Danio rerio: one gene and its partner. The protein of the gene in region 1 interacts with the protein of each later gene in a pairwise test. Links are inferred from orthologs where the notes say so. Each region holds a gene or a part of one and is shown in the gene's direction. Other genes may lie near its edges. The genes, in order: shc1 and shcbp1.

Region 1 (3,834 bases):
TTTTAAAAATATCGAATTGATTTTTACACATTTAACCTCTTTGTGGTTCTATTAAAATGTCATCCTCAACGTCTTATGATTGCTTTGCTGGTCCAGTGTGTTCTTATTTGTTGGCCTCCTTTTGCACATTGAAGGAAACGTTTCGCCAGTAACTAACTAACTAACAAACTAGCTAGCTAGCTAATTAACCTAAACTAAAGTGTTACTAAAAAGAAATCACAATCAATGACCTTGTTAAAGGGATTGTTCAACCAAAATTGTACATTCATTCATTAATTTTCTTTTCAGCTTAGTCCCTTTATTATTCTGGGGTCGCCACAGCAGAATGAACAGCCAACTTATCCAGCACATGTTTTAGGCAGCTAATGTTCTTTCAGCTGCAACCCATCTCTGGGAAACATCCATACATACTCATACTCTATGGACAATTTAGCCTATCCAATTCACCTGTACCGCATGTCTTTGGACTGTGGGGGAACATGCAAACTCCACACAGAAACGTCAACTGACCCAGCCGAGGCTCGAACCAGCGACTTTCTTGCTGTGAGGTGACAGCACTACCTACTGCGCCACTGCTTTACTCTTTTTGGTAGGGAAATGTCCTTAAGCTGGGATTCGAACTCGGGACGACCTGACATGCTACAGCACCATATGTCGACACACTAACCACTAGGCTATTCTGCCGTCCTAAAATTGTACATTTTAATAAAATACACAGAGAAAAAAATATTGTTGCAAACTATTTATATGGGTTGAATTTAAACAAACAAATTGAATGTAGTAATGTTTAATTTGATTATTTTATTTGTTTGTTAAAATTCAGACCAAATGAATTGTTTGCAACCACTTACCTTAAAAAAAATTGTATAAGTAAAGTCAATGAATATTTTATTCAGTGTATTACCTCACCCTCAAGTCGTTTCAGGCATTTATTTGAGTACAAAAGAAGATATTTTGAAAAATATTAATAACTTGTAACTATTGACTTCCATAGTAGAAAAAGCAAATACTATGGAAATCAATGGTAGCAGGTTTTCAACATTTTTCAAAATATATTTCTTTTGTGTTCAACAGAAGAAAGAAAGAGGTTTGGGACATGTGAATAATGAGTAAAGGATGACATAATTTTGTCTTGGTTGAACTATCCCTTTAAGACCCAGAGGATAGAACATACATACATTCAACAGTTTATAAATGTAATCTTGTTGTATTACTGTCTTAATACATTAAACATTATCAAAATAATAGATTTAGGAAATTAAATTTAGCATATTACAGCCATATATTCAAGGTGTACCGAGTTTAATTAAATCAAATATTAGTAAAAATATGTTCATTTGTTGTTTGAACATACTGAAATCAGTGTTGATGGCTCTTAAAAGTCTAAAAATGCCCCAAATTATTCCCAAACTAGAAACTAAAACTCAACTTACTTAAACTTTGGCTTCCAAAGAGAGACTTCAGGGTACAAGAAGCATGATTCAGTGTATAAAAATGAATTAAATTGCTTTGTTCATTCATGAAACACCCACACTGAATAAATATGTCACCATCCCACTGCACTGTATCTCCACAGCCCTATGGACAGCCGAGCCAGAACGACATTCACAAGCAGCCTCTTCCTCCACTACCAGGTCAGATTTACACACAACAATAATCCCTGTCCTAGTCATTTCATGCTGCCACACAGTATTTGTCTGTCATATAGTCACACTTCTCCTGCTTTAATTCCCCTGTCGGCCGAGACTGTCATTGTGCAGAGTGAGTCAGCGCTTTTTCTGCTACTGTTCGTTGCTCTTTGTTGGACGCTGCCCAAATCTATTACACAGCTCCTTTGAGAGGTGCCTTCTGGATCAGCGGCATTGCTGACAATAGAACGGCACCGCTTAAGTGCACTCACCTGAAGGTTAACTCACTTTAACTTCACCTTTGTTTTTCTTTTGTGTTCTTTTTTTCTTTAGTGGGTGTTAAGGATGGAGGCTTGTTTGACGACCCCTCATACGTTAATGTGGATAAACCCCGCCTCCCAGCATCAGCAGCAGCCAATGGAAATGCTCATAGAGACGCGTTTGACATGAGTGAGTGATGGATGCTTGGTGACTTTTTGTAATATTTTAATGATTTATTTATTGTGCAGGGTTCCCGATCAGGTCAGTGGTTCAGATTTTTACTTGCCCTGCCAAAATTTTCACTGGCTCCACCAAAAAAAAAAAAGTTATTGGCTATTTCTTAGCCACATATTTTAAATAATGTGTTAAAAGCCAAACATAATTGTATACATACATTTTTTATTCAGCAGGACATATATATGTCTATATAGGATATATATATATATATATATATATATATATATATATATATATATATATATATATATATAAAAACGAGAAGTGCCATGAGATTTTTAATGACCTCAGAGAGTGAGGACTTCAGTTTAACGTCTCATCCCAAAGACAGCGCTCACTTCACTGTGTTCACACCAGACGAGGAAAGCGTGGATATATTGTGCTATTCGCGTGTAAATAGACGCATGAACATTTGAGTTTACTTGCTGTTTTCGTGCGTCAAAATCGCTTCTTTCACGCATCAAACCCTGCTTAATTCGCGCATCAAATCCGATTCATTAGCGCGTCAAATCTGATTCATCCGCTTGAAAATCACTTCAGAACAGACGCTAATTCACGTGGTGGGCAGGGCTTCTGTCTGCCCGGTGACTGTAGCTTCATTGCTAAATGTCTAACATAGATTTTATTGAGAAAATAACAGTGTTTATGTGCTTTATGAAGGCTGAAAAACAGCGTTGATACGTTTGGAGCAGTTCACTAGATCCTTTCAGAGGTGCACCCAGCTCTGTGAGCTCATAAACTCCTCTAGAAACTTAAACTAGATGATGGAAGCATTTAGCGGTGCTTCTGACTGAGCCAAGCCCAGTTGATGAACTGTTGTTGGTGTAGACAGGGAATTTTCCCCCGGGACACCAACAACAGGCGCTACGTCATAATCACGTCCACACAAGAGCAAGCTCCTGATTGGTAAACGCGGCACGAATGTCCGCTGAAGTTTAGATTTTTGAACTTGAATGATTCATGCGAAAAGCGAGTCAAACGCGCAAAACATTCAATTTGCGCCGTGCCATTCACATGTATTGAGTCATTTGCTTCGCACCATGCCATTCATGCATATCACGGTGCAGGATGTCTATTCACGCCTTTGCCTTGACTTAACATGTAAATCATTCCCACTTGATGCTTCTTCCATGTCTGGTGTGAACACAGCATAAAAGTATAGTGTCCCCTTAACTTCACAGGGGCATTAGGGTTGAGTGCCCCCTGCTGCTAGTAACAGTATTAATTTGTTGAAGCCATGTTATACTAAAAAAAACAAGCAGACAAAAACTTGTGAAACAAATTTGACAAATTCTTTGTAACAATGAAAAAATCTTCATTGTCTGTTTTGTTTGTTTTTTATCGTATTGACCCCACATTTTTGTACAGGTTTCTATCATTTTACAAAACCAAACATTCAATAAAAACCATAAAGCATAATTTAATGAATAAAGTATGGACCTAATAAATTTTACGCTTGATGATAGCTTATTTACAATTGAATGTGGTAAAGCAGGGTAGTATGCTGTGTTTTTTCCTATTTTGAAAACAATACTTTGGTTTACTATACTTAGTAAATTAGTTCAGTAATACTGCAGATGTAGATTCACAGAGTAAAAATGCTCCAACCATCCAGTGATGCTCTGCTTTCTTTCTTCAGAACCGTTTGATGCAGCGCTCGTTGTGTCGGGTGCAGTGGCACTTCCTCTGGCAGAGCAGCTGCAGAACG
Region 2 (3,834 bases), on another chromosome or scaffold:
CTACAACCATTCCTGTTGCTTCCTGCTGGAATGCTGAATGAGAGAGTGTTTTTGTCATGTGTCTATCTGTGTTGCCTACTTTCCATACATGAATTTAATGAATATTCTCAAAAATTAATATTGTGCAGGGCTGGGGAATATTGCAAAAAAATGTTCACAGTAGCATGTTTCATATAGTTCAATATCGATAATTATTTTAAATAATGATATAATTATCAGTATATTATTTATTTGAACTATACGTTTAGGAATATTATAATACATTTTTTTTAGCCTCTTTTTTTAATTTACCAACATTACTAAGTTAAATAGTTTTAATAGTCAAAAACAAAAATATTTAAACAAAATATCTCATCTCTTCATAATAAAATAAACATCAGTGTTAAAGAGACTCTTAAACTTGATAGATAAAATGTTTATGCACTATGCTAAAAAATCTTTCATATGGGGTGTTCGTGGCTAGGATGCACAAGAAAAGAAACCAAAAAGCCACTCTGGCAACATCTTTACATCCTTTTTTTTTTTTTTTTTTTTTTTTTTACAATCTCCTCACTGCTGCTTTACGGTACTCAATTTCTCATTTGTTGTTGAAGTGACAAGCGCGTACGCGTGAATATCTTGAACATTTACAATAGACTAGGCGCTCACAATCCCCTGGCATCTCTCGTTACTAGATGACCATCAATTATTTTTTTAGAGGATGACAAACGGACAAACCATTGCTGCAGCTCCGACACAAGTTTATGTAGAAAAAAAAAAAAACTGTTGCAATGTTTGGATGCACTGTGTTTGTCTGAGGTGATTAGTCTGCCGTTATTCCTGAAATGCGTATATTCCATACAAAGCGTGAAGGACATTGGCAAGTTCTACTTTCATTAATTGCGGTGCGCTCAGGGCATTCTACAGCTGGAAAATGAACGTGGTTCACGTGTGTACCAGTTGCACAACACATGCGCATCGCCCACATATGAGCATCGTGCGAGTTGCATGCCTCCATTGGGAATGAGAAACTGAAACCCTAAGCTTATTAGCACTGCTTCCAAGGTGTGCTCCTGTTAAAATACTCTGTGTGGTTGGTTTCGTCTGATCAGTGCTCAATAGAACAGCTCTCTGTATTTCTGTTCATCATAGGTCATGGAAATTCAGCTTTTTAATCAGGGAAAAGGCAAAGAATTTGACATTTGGCTTTAGCCTCATTTACTCTACCAGCAGCTCGCAGTTACAAAGCAACAAGTGACTATTCATTTCAATGGAGAGCTGGTGACTTCTGACGATCTCCAACTACATGAGTGATAGCGACTGGGTGTAGGTGTGTTTAGCGACAAGACGTTAAACTTTATGCAAATGAAGAGCATTTTTGAGGATAGCTCAAGTGATCCATTTTCTTACTAGCTGTTTGTATTCTCTGCACTGTACTCTAATGCAGATAAATAGCTGCAATGACAGAGCACAAGAAATTAAAATTATAGTTAGTCTTACAAAACTCATGCGCCGTCTCATTCATAAATGTTATATAAGCAATCTCAAGGAGGGAATGCCCATTAGCGACTTCTATCACCACCCAGGCCGAAACATCGCTACAAAGTTGCTGGCTGTGTGAATGATGCTTTAACCTGAGGGAGAATAAAGGCCAGAAACAAGGTTTCCACTCTATTCTCCAAACTCGTACATTATCACAAAGGTTTTAAAAGAGATTACAGGGAAAGTTTACCCATCATTTACTCACCATCCACTTGTTCAAAAACTTATTTGATTTTTTTTTTCATTTTGATGTTTTCATTTGAAGACATTTTAAGACATCAGCTTTAACTATTGATATCCGCAATATTTTATCCCTACTATGGGTACCGTAGTGGGGGACTACCAGTTTTAAGCTTTTTTTTTTTTTAATTAAACAGATAAATGATACAAGTTTTGGGAGCAATTAAAGAGTAAGTTCATCCAAAAATGAAAATATACTCCTTATTTACTCTCCCTATTTAGGTTTTAGGTTTCAAACCTTCATGAGGCTCTTCTGATCAAATCAAAAGTATGTATTAAGTAATATTTTGAAGAAAGCTGAGAACCTGTAGCTATTTTTAAAATTGCATCTTTTATAGTTTATAGTTTCTTTTTGAGGTTTAATTTTTTAGATAAAACAACAACAACACAAAACAAATAATTTCAAAACCATATCTGTTCTTAACGCTGTTGTTTCTTTTGTGTTTTATCAGATGAGAAAGAGGAAGTATATGAAGACATGGGAGTAAAACCAGATGCAGATATGAACGACGATGATGATGTTGGGGTTAATGTTCCCATCATTGTGGTAGAGGAAGAATGCCCATCCATCAAATATAGCTGCACAATTCCTCCAGACTGTGAAGGAAATGATGCCATCAAACAAGAGTTAGTTGCCACCTCGGCCAGAAAACTTGGACGTCAGAAGAGCCGGATGAAAGCATTAGGTGACATGCAGGCTGATGAGAATCTACTCTCACAGGAAATGTTCATTTCCATTCATGGAAATCAATTTAAGCACAATGGAAAGGGAAGCTTTGGTACCTTCCATTACTGAAGCATCTCAATGCAGGCCTGCACACACACTTTACCCTTTAATTATTTATTGTGTAATTCCCCAATTTTGCTTCGTTTACTTTGAGCTAGTATTAACTACTGTGTGAATGTAATGAAAGATGAATTAAACGCGCTAACATTTCTAGCCTTTTAAACATTCTATTTTTAATATTTGTCTTTTTTAAAACTATTTTGAACACTAAAATACAAGGACACATAATTACACCAAAAGAGTGTTTACATTTTCTGTTCACACCATGTTCTACTTCAGAACAAGCATGTTCATAGACACAAATAGTTTGTTTGTTTTTCTTCAGGGTTCATACAGTTTATGCTTTGTCCACACATTAATTTAATGGTTCATACAGTCACTAATAAGCACACAAATATTTCTGGTCCCTACAAAGTCCTTTGGACCTTTCCCCCTTGATTGTCTTTATTTATTTTTTATTTTTTGAAGTAATAAAGATGCTTTATTGTTCTAAATGGCAGTGTAATGTAGTTTTGTTAAAGAAGCATGGCAGATTAAGAGAGTTACTGCTTGTGCGGTGCGTTGGGGTTCCTTTTGTCACACAAATTTGACTTTTCATTAATTAAAAAATAATAATTTTGCTTAATTCCCAGAAAATTAAAGATAAACAACATTACAATGAAGACATTTGTTTAATTCCATAATCCTGCATGTTGTTCTGTAAATTAAAGAAAAAGAAGAGCTCTAACTTTTCCTTTAATGAGCTGCAACTTGACCTGTGTTTGCCAAACAACTGCTGTGAGACTAATGTCATGAGAGGACAGGGAGAGAACTACTAAAGCATAATTTATTTTTAAGAACATTAATATAAAATATAACAATGCAAATTAATTGCAGGAAATTAGATGGGGAACAATTAAAGAATGTTAATTATTTGTCAAATTATCCATTCTCTTGTATCATGTCAGTTTCAGCATTGTTATTGTCCAGTGGTCACATTAAACTGCTGTCCAAAAATGGCAACCGGTTTGTACAGCGAATGCCTATTTTTGTCTAAAAGAGTTATTGACGGTAATTTTCTTACTATAGGTCAAAGTCTTTAAGTAGAATTGAAGTATATATATATATATATATATATATATATATATATATATATATATATATATATATATATATATATATATATATATATATATATATATAATTTTTTTTTTTTTTTTTTATACGTATACACACACACACATTTTCTTTTTGAAGGGGGTAAAAAGGAGCTGGAAATAATTGATTTCTGTTTCTCCTTCTACTGA

What was found.
Region 2: the proteins of shc1 (region 1) and shcbp1 interact in a two-hybrid assay, tested with the Homo sapiens proteins (2 studies listed by BioGRID, with this or other methods). The link is inferred for Danio rerio from reciprocal best matches to the Homo sapiens genes SHC1 and SHCBP1.

The regions. Positions count from the first base shown.
Region 1 is NC_133191.1:24,101,611-24,105,444, reverse strand, and holds part of shc1 (SHC-transforming protein 1), read left to right. Parts: intron 1-1,576; coding exon 1,577-1,634; intron 1,635-1,961; coding exon 1,962-2,078; intron 2,079-3,765; coding exon 3,766-3,834. UniProt on the Homo sapiens protein: Signaling adapter that couples activated growth factor receptors to signaling pathways. Participates in a signaling cascade initiated by activated KIT and KITLG/SCF.
Region 2 is NC_133182.1:46,406,849-46,410,682, reverse strand, and holds the end of shcbp1 (SHC SH2 domain-binding protein 1), read left to right. Parts: intron 1-2,213; coding exon 2,214-2,557; 3' UTR 2,558-3,042; downstream 3,043-3,834. UniProt on the Homo sapiens protein: May play a role in signaling pathways governing cellular proliferation, cell growth and differentiation. May be a component of a novel signaling pathway downstream of Shc. Acts as a positive regulator of FGF signaling in neural progenitor cells.